2 linked regions of the Elephas maximus indicus genome follow. Each later gene encodes a partner of the first gene's protein in a complex. Links are inferred from orthologs where the notes say so. Each region holds a gene or a part of one and is shown in the gene's direction. Other genes may lie near its edges.

Evidence for each region.
Region 2: the proteins of DISP1 (region 1) and SHH are in contact, whole or in part, in a cryo-EM structure (PDB 7E2I), measured with the Homo sapiens proteins. The link is inferred for Elephas maximus indicus from reciprocal best matches to the Homo sapiens genes DISP1 and SHH. Residues at the interface, in NP_001356523.1 of Homo sapiens: Lys242, Thr244, Gly245, Tyr246, Lys247, Ala248, Glu260, His265, Arg299, Phe336, Gly337, Asp338, Leu339, Cys340, Gln341, Arg342, Thr343, Glu459, Arg899, His904, Asp906; in NP_000184.1 of Homo sapiens: Pro49, Asn50, Val51, Thr55, Leu56, Gly57, Ala58, Arg68, Glu71, Phe73, Lys74, Leu76, Thr77, Pro78, Tyr80, Pro82, Arg96, Leu97, Gln100, Lys186.

The regions. Positions count from the first base shown.
Region 1 is NC_064842.1:12,482,140-12,489,492, forward strand, and holds the start of DISP1 (protein dispatched homolog 1), read left to right. Parts: upstream 1-2,300; 5' UTR 2,301-2,348; exon of another isoform or gene 2,349-2,442; intron 2,443-2,481; exon of another isoform or gene 2,482-3,123; intron 3,124-4,260; exon of another isoform or gene 4,261-4,349; intron 4,350-7,353. UniProt on the Homo sapiens protein: Functions in hedgehog (Hh) signaling. Regulates the release and extracellular accumulation of cholesterol-modified hedgehog proteins and is hence required for effective production of the Hh signal. Synergizes with SCUBE2 to cause an increase in SHH secretion.
Region 2 is NC_064838.1:5,083,231-5,090,583, forward strand, and holds the start of SHH (sonic hedgehog protein), read left to right. Parts: upstream 1-3,267; 5' UTR 3,268-3,556; coding exon 3,557-3,865; intron 3,866-7,353.

The DNA.
Region 1 (7,353 bases):
CAATGCTGTGTCTTGGGGAGTTGATGCCTTGGTGTTTTGATTGCCAGGAACAGAAACCTACTAAAATTAACCTAAGAAAAATGGGAAATTTACTGGAAAGACATACAATTTTCAAAGAGTTTAAAGATGGAGGAAGTTTAGCTGGGCCTTACAAGAAATTGGGGATTAAAAATGCAAAAATGGGAACTAGGACTACCACCTCGGAGAAAATTTTCTTCTCTTTTCTCCTTCTCATTCCTACTTCCTCTTCCTTCCTCTTGTTCCTCTCCTTTTTTTCTCCACCAGCTTTAGACATCTTGCTCATGTCTAAGTCAATCCTAAGTTTACATGACATTTCTAAGCATGCAGGAGAGACCAAGTGGAGTTTTGTATGCAAACTCCAAAATCCATGCATGAGACTCTCTTAGCCCTATATGGACTAAGAGTGCACATCTGGTCCACCCTAGAACATGGTGCAGCGCTGTGGCAATGGTCATTCAACTTTGACTACTCAGTAGGGGCTCTGGATGCAGATTACCTTTAATAAGTGGATATTATGGGTATGCTCTTTAAGATTATTTTGGTTGCAAGCAGTAGATGCCTACTTTGGCTAGTTAAGCAAAAAGTGTATTGGAAGTATATAGAGATATCTCGTGTAATCAAAGGACACAGGGCAAGACCAGGGTCCTTGGCAAAGGTATTTATAGATCTTCTCTTGAGGGCCCTCCTATTTGTACGTCTCAGCTCTAATGGCTGTCTTTCTCTGTTTCCCTGTTTCACATTTAGTGTTCCTGGGAGAAAGAATCTAAATGGCCCAGTGTAGGATGTCCCCATTTTTGGACTAACCTGTTAGAGGACATGATAGGGTGACCAATTTGTCCTGGTTTCCCCAGACTGTCCCAGTTTAAGCAATGGAAGTCCAGCGTCATGAGATTTCTCTCAGTCCTTGGCAAACCAGGACAGTTGGTCACCCTGGGGCAAGCCGAGAGGTATGAGCTCTGCTGGCGCAGTGGTAAAAGCTCAGCTGCTAACCAAAAGGCCGACAGTTTGAATCCACCAGCCGCTCCTTGGAAACCTTATGGGACAGTTCTACTCTATCTTGTAAGGTCATCATGAGTCGGAATCAACTCCATGGCAATGCGTTTGGTTTTGGTTTAGGGTCACTATGAGTTGCAGTCGACCTGACAGCAACAGGTTTGATTTGGTAGTCATCCACCGTCTTTATAATGGCGTATGGCAGTTTGAGAAAGCACCTTTGAGGGCAAAATGTTCTATCGTGATCTTTCAAGTTCTTATTTTTCTTTGATGACCAGGTCAATCATCCTAGGCAACCTCATGACTCACTTTTTGTTAGTTCCCCTAGAAGACCTCACTGATTTCCAGTTACATGCAGGCTGAAGTCCAAATTTCTCAGCGTAATGTACAATAGTGTTCATAATCTGGCGTTACCGCCATGATCTCAGGCCTTGATAAATTAACTGTACCCCTGAACAAATCAAACTCATTCCCTGGCATCTGCTCAGCATGCCCTTCAGGATCTTGTCCACCACCTAGCTTTATTATCATTTATTTCCACGACAACGGGAGAGTCAACATCTCTAGAAAGCCTTTTCCGCCTAGCTCCCTGCACTCCGCCATTGCCTACTTTTGGCCCATAGCACTGCCGTAGTCCTGTGCACCTGATCGTTATTGCACTCGTTTGCTCACATATCTGTGTCCCTACACTACACTAAGCTTCCGAGGGACCGGTCGCTCTCTGATTTATTCTATGCTCAGTTCATTGTCCTGAGTTTACGCTTCCGTCTGTTACTGCTGTGGAATGAGTGATACGTAGTAGGTAATACAAGTTTGTTCAATTAATGAATGAAGGAAGAAATACCACCGCTTAGTGTGGTTAACCTTTGTTTTTATTTGTCAATTTTCTACCAGCGAGGGCAGGAGTCAGTGTCTGAGTGTTCCTCGCAGGGCTTGAGCGGAATAGGCAGGCGCTTGGTCAAGCGTTTGCAGAGTTGCTGACTGAAAAAGAGAACGAACGCGGGAGAAAGGAGACTCCGGCCCGACACCTGCCGAGCACCCCTGCACCTCTCAGCTCCTCCAGGTGCTCCCTGCGGGAACCCGGCAGGCGAGCGGTCAAGCGTTTGCAGAGTTGCTGACTGAAAAAGAGAACGAACGCGGGAGAAAGGAGACTCCGGCCCGACACCTGCCGAGCACCCCTGCACCTCTCAGCTCCTCCAGGTGCTCCCTGCGGGAACCCGGCAGGCGAGCGGGCGGGGAGCAGGCGGGGCGGGACTTCCGGTCGCGCGGTGAACGCCTTCCGGTGCGAGGCGGAAGCCGGGCTCCGGGCCAAGATCCGAGAGCCGGGAGTGGAGGTGAGTTCGGAGCTGGGAGGTCCCACACGCTTGTCTCCTCTGTGGATGCCTGCTGGCCCCGCTGTCGCTCGGCGCCGCGGGACGGGGAGAACGGGTAGGGACGGCAGAGCCTGGGCGCCCTGCGAGCTGGGGTCCCGAGGCAGGGAGCGGGAGCCTGGAGCGGGGGCCGGCCAAGGGGAGGCGACCCCTGAGGGCAGCCGTGAGGGGCTGCGGAGGGAGGTGCCGGGGACCTGGGGCCGGAGGGTCCGGGGCTGGGGGTTGCGGACGACCCTGGGCAGAGGTGCCTCTCGGAGGGCAGCCGCTCTGCAGCCCCGCGCAGGGGGAGTGTCCCGGGTCCCGGCGGAGCGCCTGCGAGGGTGGCCCGAGATGGCAGAGATGGGCTTCCACGGAGAGGGTAGATGGAGCCGGTCTGTCCCTCTGCGAGGGGCGCAGCTGAGAAGGGCGTCTCGACCTAACGGGTGAGAGAGATGATGAGCCACCGACTGGATGCTGAGCTCGGATTGCTTGACTTCAGTTAATGCTGGTTTTTTCAAATGTGTTTTTGTGAATTCCAGGAAAGTATTTTACTCTTTCAGGGAAAACGTAAAGTCTTCCTCACCCAGCCCGAAATTATGTGCTTTTCTTTGTCAAATTAATAGTATCTTAAAGTTCTCGTCATACAGACAAGCCAACCGAACTTTTCCTTTTGGACTTTACTCTGCAGAGTTTAGGCTGACTTACTTCCTTTGTCAGGGGATGGACTCCTGGATGCATTGAAAACCACAGTCATTATCAGGTGGGAAGCCACTGCTGTCAACGTTGGCGCTTACGGCTCGCTCCTGCTTTACCTGCCCAACTTTCTAACACATTTTTTCTAAAAGTTATCCTATTGGGTTTAGTTTTTAAGCTTAACCAGGAAGGACAATTTTAGATTAGGGTGCAGCAGATTATTAACAATTTCTAAGAATTTTTGATTTCTAAAAAGTACTACTTTGGAAGTACTTAAAAAAAAATAGTGAAATCTGTGGTTATATACACAATAGTACATTTAGTTTTTCTTAAAGGCCAGTGTGTAGAGTGCAGGCTTGTTTTGATCTTTACTGGAAGGTAATTATTATCAGTTTTAGTTATTGTCTACATTGTGTTTATGTTTTATATGCAGCAGTTAATATAGTCTTCCTAATCTACATTATGTAAGTAGGTGGTCAATGAGTTAGATTTTTGCCATGAACTGGTGGCACAGTGGTTAAGAGATTGGCTGCTAACCAAAAGGTCAGTTCAAATCCACCAGCGCCCCTTGGGAACCCTCTGGGGCAGTTCTACTCTGTCCTATAGGGTCACTGTGAGTCGGAATAGACTCGAAGGCAGTGGGTTTGGTTTTGGTGTGTGTAAAGTAGCTGAGAAGAATCCTAATACTGTCAGTGGCAGAGAGTGATATTTAACAATTGTTATGCTTCAGGTGTTTGATCTTTAAAGTGTTAGAATTTTTTTTTTTTTTTGAAATTGCTCTATTGATGACTTTTAGATCTGATATGGGTGGCCTGACTTGAATTCATTCAAGTAAACTAGAACATTTGATATTCATTGTCACCTCAGTGTCTTGCTAGCTCATTAACTCTTGATGGCCTTGAAGGGCTGTGCTGAGTAAGAGGACTTATAATTTTCTTATGTTTAAGGGCACAGCTGATATTTGCAAAAGTGAAGCATAAACATAAACAATGATTTAAAACGTGGATGAGCATATTGAATAACTTTTCAAGTTCGAGAATGAAATGATGACACCAATCTCTAAAGTTATTAACTGCGTGCTGGGTTCTGTATATGTCTAAATTTATTTCTTTGGAGTAGACAAGACTATTTATCTGATAAGACCTGTTCTTATTTTTCCATACAGTTGTGGTTTAAAAGATATATTTTTCCTCTTTTACCTCAGTGTTTTGGGAAACAAAGACTGTAATTCATGGTTGGAGGAAGTGCTCGTTGAGACGTAAGAGTGCCTGCCTTCAGTTATATGTCTGAAAGGTATGGTTGAAATTTGATTGCCCTGCGTTCTGCATAATCTTTGGAGTTTTTGTTCTTTGTTTTAATGGTAGAGTAAATGTCTTAGCTTTCATGCTAGATAAATTCTGTGTGTTGTCATTCTTCTGGGTTTAGTTGTATTTTACAGCTTAACTAGTAATTGCATTTTTTATTAGGGTTTGGCAAACTCCTAGTTATACGGTGAAATATGTATCAGTGCATTGGAAGAACTATTAAAACAGCAGTAATGAAGACTCTTTCTTCGTATACACAACGTAGGCATTTTATTTTCTTTAATCATCAGTTGGTAATAACGTAATTTGGTGTATTGATTCTTTTGGTTCCACATTTTCTGGTTATCAATTTTTTTTTTATGTAGTCCATTCTCAGTTTTCTGTATACCCTAGTTAGAAAGTCATTCCCTGTCATTGATAGAATTAGGAGAATTTGTTACAGCTGAGGGGTACAGCTTCTGCACAGGGAGGTACCAAATAGAGTACTGTGCTGATTTCTGCTGACCTACCATTCAGCTGCTACATTGCCAGTGAAGCAGAGCATGGCTGTCAGCAGGGTTGACTGAGGCGGAATCAGCCCCTCTCTTAGGATCACTTTTCTGTCCTCCTTCCTCTGCTGTGTTTAAGCATTTTCTTTCATAGTGACCAAGAGGACCTGTGCCTCAGAGTGACTCATCAGGGCATCAGAGCAGCCATATAGGACTGCAGTCCTATTAGTAGGGCCCTGTCCATTCAGCTGAGTTTAATCCCATAAATCTTGGCAAATTTCCCAGCTTCTAGGCTTGCAGTAGAAACCCTGGTGGCATAGTGGCTATGGCTAACCAAAAGGCTGGCAGTTCAAATCTATCAGGCACTCCCTGGAAACTGTGTGGCAGCTCTGCTGTCCTATAGGGTTGCTATGAGTTGGAATTGACTCCATGGCAATGGGTTTTTTTTTTTTTTTTTTTTGGTAGGCTTGCAATTATGGCTTTGAAATACTTGTTCAGATTATTGATTTTTAAAATGGTTTTAATACTAAATCATAATTGATCAGATTACATAAATGGACTCTACTATGTTATATATGGCCTTGACTCAGTTTTGCTTAGGGTGAGGCATCAGGTTAAATTATATATGAAGTTTTCTGTTAAAGCAATATGATATACCTCACAATTGCAAATAATATGGAAAATACACTGGTAACTTTTAGCCTTTGTTGTTGTTAGTTTTATTTGGTTTGAGAGCCTAAGGAAAGGAAGAACTATTGCATAAAAGATTTGACTTGGAGGAGGAGGTTGGCCATTACCCGTGGCATTCTGAGGGGCAATCATGGGAGCTGTCTGTGGTCCAAGGAATGTCTTAGCACTGAGGTTGTTTAGAATTTCTAGCACATGATGATAATAAAAAGCAGACAGACTTTCATCTGGTTTTATTATTGTTTTTAATTCTCTACAGGCAGTGCATCCCTTTACTGCATGCACCTGGGGCAAGCCCCTCCCACCTCTCACAAGAACGACCTGGCAGAGACTCCCGAAGTCAGAGTTTACGTGGTACTAAGGAATCATGAAGAGGTTTGAGGGAGGGTTGAGAAGTGAATAGAAGAACAAGTACTGAAGTTTATTTTAGCATGAGTGTAAGTCAGAATTGGAATCGACTCAGCAGTAACTATCAACATTTTCAAAATTGAGAAGATGAAGGCATGGAGACTCCCTGAGTACATTGTAGATGTGAGAAGACCAAACAGTAGATATGAGTGTATTCCAGTTATGGGGGTGGAGTGAAGAGGCAGGCCTGAGGAGGTGATACATAATCAAGTTGTAGACTTTTGCACAAGAACTTTGTAACTATGTAAATAGCAGTGTTAGATTTAACTCCCAGTATTTTAAACCTAAGTGATGTCTGTTGGATAGTATGTAATTGACTAAAGTTGCAAAAGTAAAGATAGTACAAGGAACACTCGTGTGCCCTTTATCCAGATCCACTTATTTTTTAAGATTTTACCCCATTTGCTTTATCACGTGAGAACAAGGATACTTCTGATTAAAGCCGAACACTTCCATAAAGTATACTTGCAAGTTGATCTGTTAACTTTCTCATCCTAATAAAGTTATTTATTGGCTCCAATTCACTGAATCCTAGAGCTAGAAAGAACCCTGGAAGATGATCTGATTTAACCCCCTTGAAGATGGAAAATGTTGACCAATCCAGGACGGGTGGGTTTTGATTCTTAAACCTCCACGGCCTCTTCCAGGGTCTTATCCTGACAAGAATAAAAACCTCAAATATCTGTTTGTTGCTTTTTGGTTTATATATTTTCATTTGATCCTCAAAACAAGCATGTAAAGGTTCTTTAGTACTCTCCCCACCCCTCGGAAATCTCAAATACACAGTCCTGTATTCGTCTCTGTCATTTAAATCTATCTCTTCATAGAAAACAACTGAACAATGTCCCTTTCAGGGATACTTAACCTGCTCTGTAATAAATGCCTTATTAACTTTCCTCAGGTACCAAACCAAACCCACTGCCGTCGAGTCCATTCCAACTCATACTGACCCTATAGGACAGAGTAGAACTGCCCCATAGAGTTTCCAAGGAGCGCCTGGCAGATTCGAACTGCTGACCCTTTGGTTAGCAGCCATAGCACTTAACCACTATGCCACCAGGGTTTCCTTCGTCAGGTAAGGCTATCCTACTTCCTTTAGAGTTTCTACCTATAATATACTTTGTATCTAGTCAGTTCACAAGGTGTGCGAATGATTTGTTCTTGACTCCTAAGCAAAAGATCGGTGGTTCGGACCCACCCAGCGGCTCCATGGACGAAAGGCCTGGTGACCTGCTTCTGTAAAGAATACAGCCAAGAAAACCCTGTGGGGGTCATTTCTACTCTGGAATGAGTTGGAATCAACTTGACAGCCATGGGTTTGGTTTTTTTTTTCCCTTGGTTGATCTTTCAGGGTTCTAGGTTTGTCACACCCTTTTTAAAGTGTGGTGAGGAAAACTAAAAAATTGTGAC
Region 2 (7,353 bases), on another chromosome or scaffold:
CTAGCCCGCTTCCCGGGGCCTCCCAACCTGGTTCTGCCCGAGATTCCCAAACACACCCAAACCAGAACCCGGCACTCCAGAACTGAAGGCAGAGTGAGGAGGCCATCTAGCGGCTGGGGTCGAAATGGAGGGAAAGGTGCGGTTCCGAGGAAGGGCGCCTCCTGGGGGGCCGGAGCCTGAGACAGAGGCAGCCACCTGTCCTCACCGGCACGGCCGGGTGCAGGGCGAGGTGGACGGTAGAAGGACGGAGAGTGGGCCGGGCGGATGTGGAGGACCACCAGAAGGAGACGAGCTCGGATCAGTCAGAGATGGGTCTGCGGGAGACCCGGGACGCCTGGCCGCGACAGGCACGGGCAGACGGCTGGGGTTTGGAACCGCTGCCCGGCAGAAGGAGGGGCCGAACTGTCTGGAGGGGGAAAGGCAAAGAGAGGGAGCCATCTGGTGTCTGGAGGTGGAAGACGAGCGAGTGTCTGGTGTCTGGGAAATGGGAAGTGGGCGAGATGAAAGGAAAGGGGAAGTGGGAGGGGGAGGGAGGCGCGGAGACCGCCGCGGCCCCGGGAAGCTCGGCCGGGCGCCCAGTAATGCAGACCCTGAGTGCCTAAGACAATGCACACGGACTGCGCGTGATTTTTGTCCCTATTCCCCCTCCCCGGGCAACCCGCCGCCGGGAGCAAGCCCTCCGGAAGAAGGCGTCAGTGGCGGATTTTACAGCGATTTGTCCATCACTCTTTGAATCGGGAGGATCCAAACGAGCCCCTGAGACGGCGGCCGCTGACAGGCTCTCCGGGGTCTCCAGGGCCGGATGGAGATGGCGAGGAGGGAGGTGGCCTCGGCGCCGGCCCTCCCGGGGAGCCTCCGCCGGAGCCCGAGCGCAGTGCGCGCCGCGTCCCCTTCCTGGTCTCTGCGAAGAGGGAGGGACCGCGCCGCCGGAGTCACGCTCGGCTCTTTCCTGATCCGGGAGAGCCCGGCCGGGCCCCCAGGTCACACCGCCCACCGCGCCCCGCAGCCTGGACTCTCCAGCTCGGCTTTGGCTTTCATAACCCAAGTCCCACACCCGGCACGCTGGGGGCGTTAGACTTTTCCACGTGCGTTTACTGCCTGCACCGGACGCGCACCTCCCCAGCGTGTCTGCGCCGCAGGAGCCCTGCTGGCTGCTGGGTACACGCGCGGCCCGCAGCCCCAGAGTCTCTGGCCTCAACCCCCAGCTTCGCCGCCCGGGCGCTCCCGCCCTGTGCGGGCACCTAGGTCTTTAGGGGAGAGCGCGAAGAGCGAAAAAGAGAAGGGAAAGGAAAGGCACTGGGGCCGAAGGAGGTGCCAAGGCGGGGGAGGGTGATGAAAAGGTTTGCAAGTATCCCACACTGTCGGGATCGCTTCTTAAACCGCGGCACTATTTAGTGATATTACATCAACACGTGCTACCCGAGGTAACCACATCAAACAAGCCTACCTTCTTTGGTATACAGCGTTATATCTTTTTTTGTATCAGTTTTTTCCTGGGAGCACACAATATACAGAGAGAGGCGCGCACACACACACACACACACACACACACACACACACCCTGGACAATAAATTAAGCCCCGGGTTTATCAACAGAGTTGAATTGTCTCCGGCTAATTGGAGAACTCTTCGTTCCTGCCTGAGTCTTTCTGGATAGAACTGGGTGCTGCCTTCCCACCTTGCCCAGAGGTCAGCGCTCTTCTTAGGCTCGGTATTTTGGTTCTTCAAAAATCACAGAATAGAAAAGAGAGAGAGATGCGAGGGGGGAGGGGGGAGGGACTTGTCAACCTTTGTAGAGGAGCACGAATGGGTGGAGTGCAGCTAGATGTCGCTTAAGATGACCCCCTCAAAAAAAAAAAAAAAGATTTGGGCATAGGAACATTGATGGACTGCTAGCAACTTCCCATTGTTTTGCTGGGTGAACCTTCAGACCGTTCTCACACCACTGCGTGGTTTGGGGTCAAGGCAGAATACTGAACTGCAGAGGCCAACACTCACAGTATCTGATTATTTGTCAGGGTCAGTATTTCTAGTCCACATGAATAACACTCCCTTGCCCCACTCCAGAGGTATTCTTGCTTATGCGTGGAATGGGGGGAGGTTGAGATGGGGGTATGTTCTGCAAAAAGAGGGAGTGTCAGGTTTTATTTTTCTAGTTTAGTTAGAAAGTTGTGGGTGTGTGAGTGTGTGTTTTCTGGAAGGACTGCAGGGATTGGGGGTCTCATATTGCTGTTCTCTGGACACTAGGACACCCCTATTTGACCAGAGCCGGAGCTGCTCCAGCCACCTGCACCCCTCCAGGCTGCAGAGCCCATGATGTGGCCAGCTCCATTTAGCGCCAGCACCAGACGCCATAGCAAGGAGCCTTAACTTTACACTTCACTCATCCCTTGGCCCTGCACTTTGCTCCTATTGATCTGTGGGGGTGGTGTTTGCAAAGCCTTGCCCACTCACTGCTGCCCTCCAGGCACAATGAGCCTCCGCCCACAGCACACACAAGCACAGGCTCCCTTCCCAGAGCTGGGGGTGTCCAGCACCTGAGACCCACTTTGCCCCTGGACCTTGACAGTCCATCAGCTCACTCTGTACCTACCCTTAACACACCTCCATCCTATCTTCAGAGGTTTCAGAAACCATGCATTGATACAAACAATAAAGTGGCAGTATTTTAAAGTTTTTCTAAGGCATGTGAAGCACTTCAACTCACATTACTAAGTTGTGGTCACTCATAATTATCCTTCTTCCAAAGATGCTGAGCATTCAGGCAGAGGAGGCTCAGATGGGAGACCTGGCCTGAATGCTAAAATCCCTAACAATTTTAAATAAGACCTGGCAAGCTTTGCCCCTGAAACATTTGAGGAGATATTTGTTTGATGATCAAAGCTTTGGGGGGTCTGTGCTGTCCTTTAAAAACTTAAGTTGGTTTTAACTGAAGCACCTACCATTCCCAAGAAAGTAAAGGGGGAAACACGGATACACACAAAGCAGGGTATAATTGATGTTATCCTGAGAAATGTGCCTCGCCCTCCCTCCCACCTTTGTTTTAGTAAAGATTTTTTTTTTTTTTACTCGAAGCCTTCAGGTGAAAATAAAGCAGCAGCAGCAACAGAAAAAAAAATTGTAGCCTTTTTGAGGGTTAAACATCAGAAGACAAGCTTGTGTTGCCTTGGCCAATCAGATACGCCCCTGCCAGCTATAATATAGTACTAAAGGCAGCCTCTCTCACAAGCGTCTCTAGGCTTGCTACCATTTAAAATCAGACTCTTTTTGTCTTTTGATTGCTGTCTCGCGACCCATCTCCGATGTGTTCCGTTATCAGAGACCGGCAGCCTGCCATTCCAGCACCTGTCTGGCTGGGGATCGGTGGAGAGTCCCACGCAGCGGCGGCGGGCAAGGTTATATAGGAAGAGAAAGAGAGCGAGGGAGAGAGCAAGGCAGCAAGCGAGCCGGAGCGAGAAAGGGAGAGCGCAAGAGAGAGCGAACACGCACACGCGCGCACACACACACGCTCACACACACAGACACACACGGGAGAGCTTGGAAGTAATTGGGCTCCATGGACGAGATGCTGCTTCTGGCGAGATGTCTGGTGGTGGTCCTGGTCTCCACGCTCTTGATGTGCTCAGGGCTGGCGTGCGGACCCGGCAGGGGATTTGGGAAGAGGAGACACCCCAAAAAGCTGACCCCTTTAGCCTACAAACAGTTTATCCCCAATGTGGCCGAGAAGACCCTAGGGGCCAGTGGAAGATACGAAGGGAAGATCTCGAGAAACTCCGAGCGATTTAAGGAACTCACCCCCAATTACAACCCTGACATCATATTTAAGGATGAAGAAAACACCGGAGCGGACCGGCTGATGACTCAGGTAGAAACCCAGCTCTGGGGCGTGGAATGTGTTCCTTTAAAGCGAGCTACGTGGAACGAAGCCGTTCTAGACTTGGTTTCTTTGCTTTTTAAGCAGATTTAAAGGCGATTTCACTCTGTCCTTCCCCACCCTCCTACCTACCTGCCACCCCTTCCTCTTCCTGGAGGAATGGAGGTTATGGGTCCAGAAGTTTAGGGTATGGGCGGGGGTGAGAATGGCTGGGTATGTGATCCCATTTATGGCCCTGATTTCATCTCTGTCTTACTAGGATGGCTCTCCCCACCCTGGCTGTGCTCTGGCTTGTAACTTGGAGAGACCTTCACTTTCCGGGCGTCTGCCTTTTCCAAGTCTGTGGCTTTACTGGAGAGTCAGGAGTGGAGATGCAGAGGGGGGGTGGGAATCCCCCCCATAAACATAAAGTGGCCTCAGGTCACTGCTACAAATGTAGGCTCGAAGCGTTAGATCTCCAAGCTCATACTTTCCCCCTCTCTTCTGTGTTTTTTCTTCCCATGACTACCCCCACCCGACCACCCCCCACCAAAGAATCTTCCATTGGAAAAGCCAGGAAGGCGGTTCTGACAAAAGGCAGTGGCTTCGGAGGCGGCTCTAGCTGTCCATGACTGTGTCACATAGCTTGCCTTGCGATTCCATCGAGTGTGATTGTGCCCATCGGAGTGTGAATATATTGATATTTCTTTAAGGATGCTCTTTCATTCTCCTAAGCCCGAGGTACCTTAGGGGAGGGACTTGGAACTTACTGGCATTGCATCACTTCAGTTTTCAATCAGCTTGCATAGAAATTACGAGGGAATAAATATTAATGGGAAAGGGGTGGAAAGGAAAACCAAAGCAAAATATTAATCCTTTCCCCTCGCCCATCTCCTTTGAGACATCTGGGCTAAAAAGCTACCTGCCAATTCCAGACTTTCTGAAACTCCATGCATATGTAACTGAAGCTAGAAATGGGTTTCCTCGCAAATATAGGTCAGCATCATTTTTATTGCCCTATTAAAATATTCAAATCCTACCTTTAGGGCTAGAAGCGCACAGGCTGACGGAGCGGCGCTGGCGGGGCGCAAGTGTGGCGGGAGGGGGGGGAGGAGAGGCGGGGGGAGGCAGAGAGGAGCTACCTCGTAGCTCTTCTGCTTCCAACCCCATTCCTGGGCTTGTTGCGGGTGCGGAGAAAGGGAAGGGCCAGCTGGGGAACCAGCTCTAGCTGCCCGGTGGGGGCGAAGTGGGAGTGGAGGAGAGGATTCTCTTTCCTCGGTCTCCCTCATCTGCTCCCGACCACCTTAAATCGGGCCCAAGAGTGTGGCCGCGCGCTTGTGCCCCACAGAAGCCACGATTAACTCTGCGTGGCCCCAAGGGGGCCGGGGGCGTGCGGCCGGCTGGAGGAAGTTCTCTGGCTCTCCGGGCCTCGCCGCCCCCTGGTCCCCTTCGCCCCCCGCGAGGAGCCTTCCCGGGGGTCTTTCCGCACTCAGGGGAGGGGAGAAGAGAGAAGCGGCGGGGCGGAGACACCGGAGGGTCCCGAGTCGGGCCGGTCAGCATCTGCCTTTGTGGGTGCAAGGGACCCCCACCGAGTCCCGCGCCCCCTGCTCCGAGCTCTGGGTCCTCAGCGCCCTTCTGGGAAGCTGTAGGCCCAAGAAGCCGAGCCCCAAGTCAGACGCATTTTCAGCTCCACTTACTCCTCGGTTATCGATCTCAGAGGCTAGGGTTTCAGTTTGTGCGGCGGAGCTGGGCTCGGGCCGTCGCCGCCGCCGCCGCCGCGCAGTCCCTGCCCTGCACGCGCACACGCAGGAATCAGCTCCAGAACCGCGAGCGTGGGGCTCATCCTAATGGGGCGCTAATCACCCTCATTAACCCGGCGGCGGCGGCGGGGGTGGGGCGCGTGCGGGGAGGAGGCAGGGGTGTGGTGACGGCGCGGCCGGGCCTCCCGGGTCTCCGAGCCCCCTGGGCGCCGCAAGGAGCCCTCCATCCCGCTCCGCGCCTCCCGCCCGCCCTGCCCGGGAACACGGGGCCGCGCCCGCCCCACGCCGCGCCTCTCGCGCCGCCGCATTCGCTAGCAGCATTTGAACTTCTGACCTTCTGTCAACTTCCCTCAGACGAACGAAACGAAAACAAATACTTTTTTTTCCTTCAGCAGTGGCCATTCCCGTTCCTAACACAAAAGGAGGGGGGAAGGGTGGCCAAAGTGGGGGTGGGGTGGGGTGGGGTGGGGTGGGGTGGGGTGGGGGGGAGAGCCAGGCCAGGGTTACAGCACTGACCCCCCCCAGGTACCCTAAAAACGTGGATGGTTGGGGGTGGCGGCTGGAATGTGCCCCCTGGTTGTCCCTCCTCTGGCATTTCCCTCTTCTGCAGATTCTAGGAGTTAAAGGGGGGCGGGGACAGGAATGGGGTGAGAGAGGCAGACGTCTTGGGTCTTGTAAGGGCAGGGAACGTGTGGGCTTCAGAGGCAGGAAAGTGCCTCTCAGGCCGCGCGAAGGTCTGGAGCTTCTCGGGGAACTTGCTTGCCTGCTGGGCTCCTCACTTTTACAGAAACGCCTGGACTCTGCTCTCAGGTGTGCGTCTTGAGGGTCTCCTCCTCCGTCTAGTCTCTCTCCTTGTCTCTGGGTGTGTCTCTAGGTCTCTCTAGGTGACCGTTGCCCAAGTCCCTCAACCATGGCGAGATCTTCCCCAGTGGAACTTTCAGAGCAGTTCTGGAACGCATGAGCTCCTGGTTAATATTAACCCGAGAGAGGGGAACGCAGACAGACCACTCTCCCAGCGCAGGCCCCGGGTGCCGGCTCGCGGGGCGCGGGTGGGAAGGGGCGCTGCGAGGGGTAGGAGGCCCACCGGGGGCGGGTCTGGAGGCTGAAGTCGGGGGCTTAGCCTGAAAGGACGCGTTACTTGCATTTCCTGCCTGCTCTGCAGCCGCCGGGCAAGGCAAAGGAGCCAATGTGTGAGCTTGGGGGGGGTTTCCTTTTTCATGGATGGGGGTTCTCTGTGCGCTGGAGGGGTACAGAGAGGCGGTGTTGCCGAGCTGGATGTCTTTTTGAGGTGGAGGCCCCTCCCACGCCTAGGCACCGGGGGAAGCCCGCCCGGCTGCTCGTAGCGACTGATACTGCCGAGCGCCTCCTCGGCGCGCTCGTTTGTGTAGAGATTAGGGAGTGTGGCGGGGAGCTGAGGCGTGTGGAACAACTTTGCCTCTGCGGACACAAAGCCCGCGCCGAGGCGGCCCCGCTGGGCTTCACGGTGACTGCACAGAATCGGGCTGATTCGCGGCACATGACCCAGTGAATGAACAACCGGTCCTGGCTGCACGGCCTTTGCCTCCGACAAGCTAGCGGGCTGGAGCCAGGAGCGTCCTGCAGCCGCCAGCCGAGGCCCGCCCGGCCCTGGGGCCGGCCAGAATTCTGCCGGGATGTCAGCTGCCGACGAGGGAGCTGGGCTCCGGGACACATTCAGGCCGGCCCCTCGGCCTCGGACGGTCCCCAGCGCCGCCACCTCCA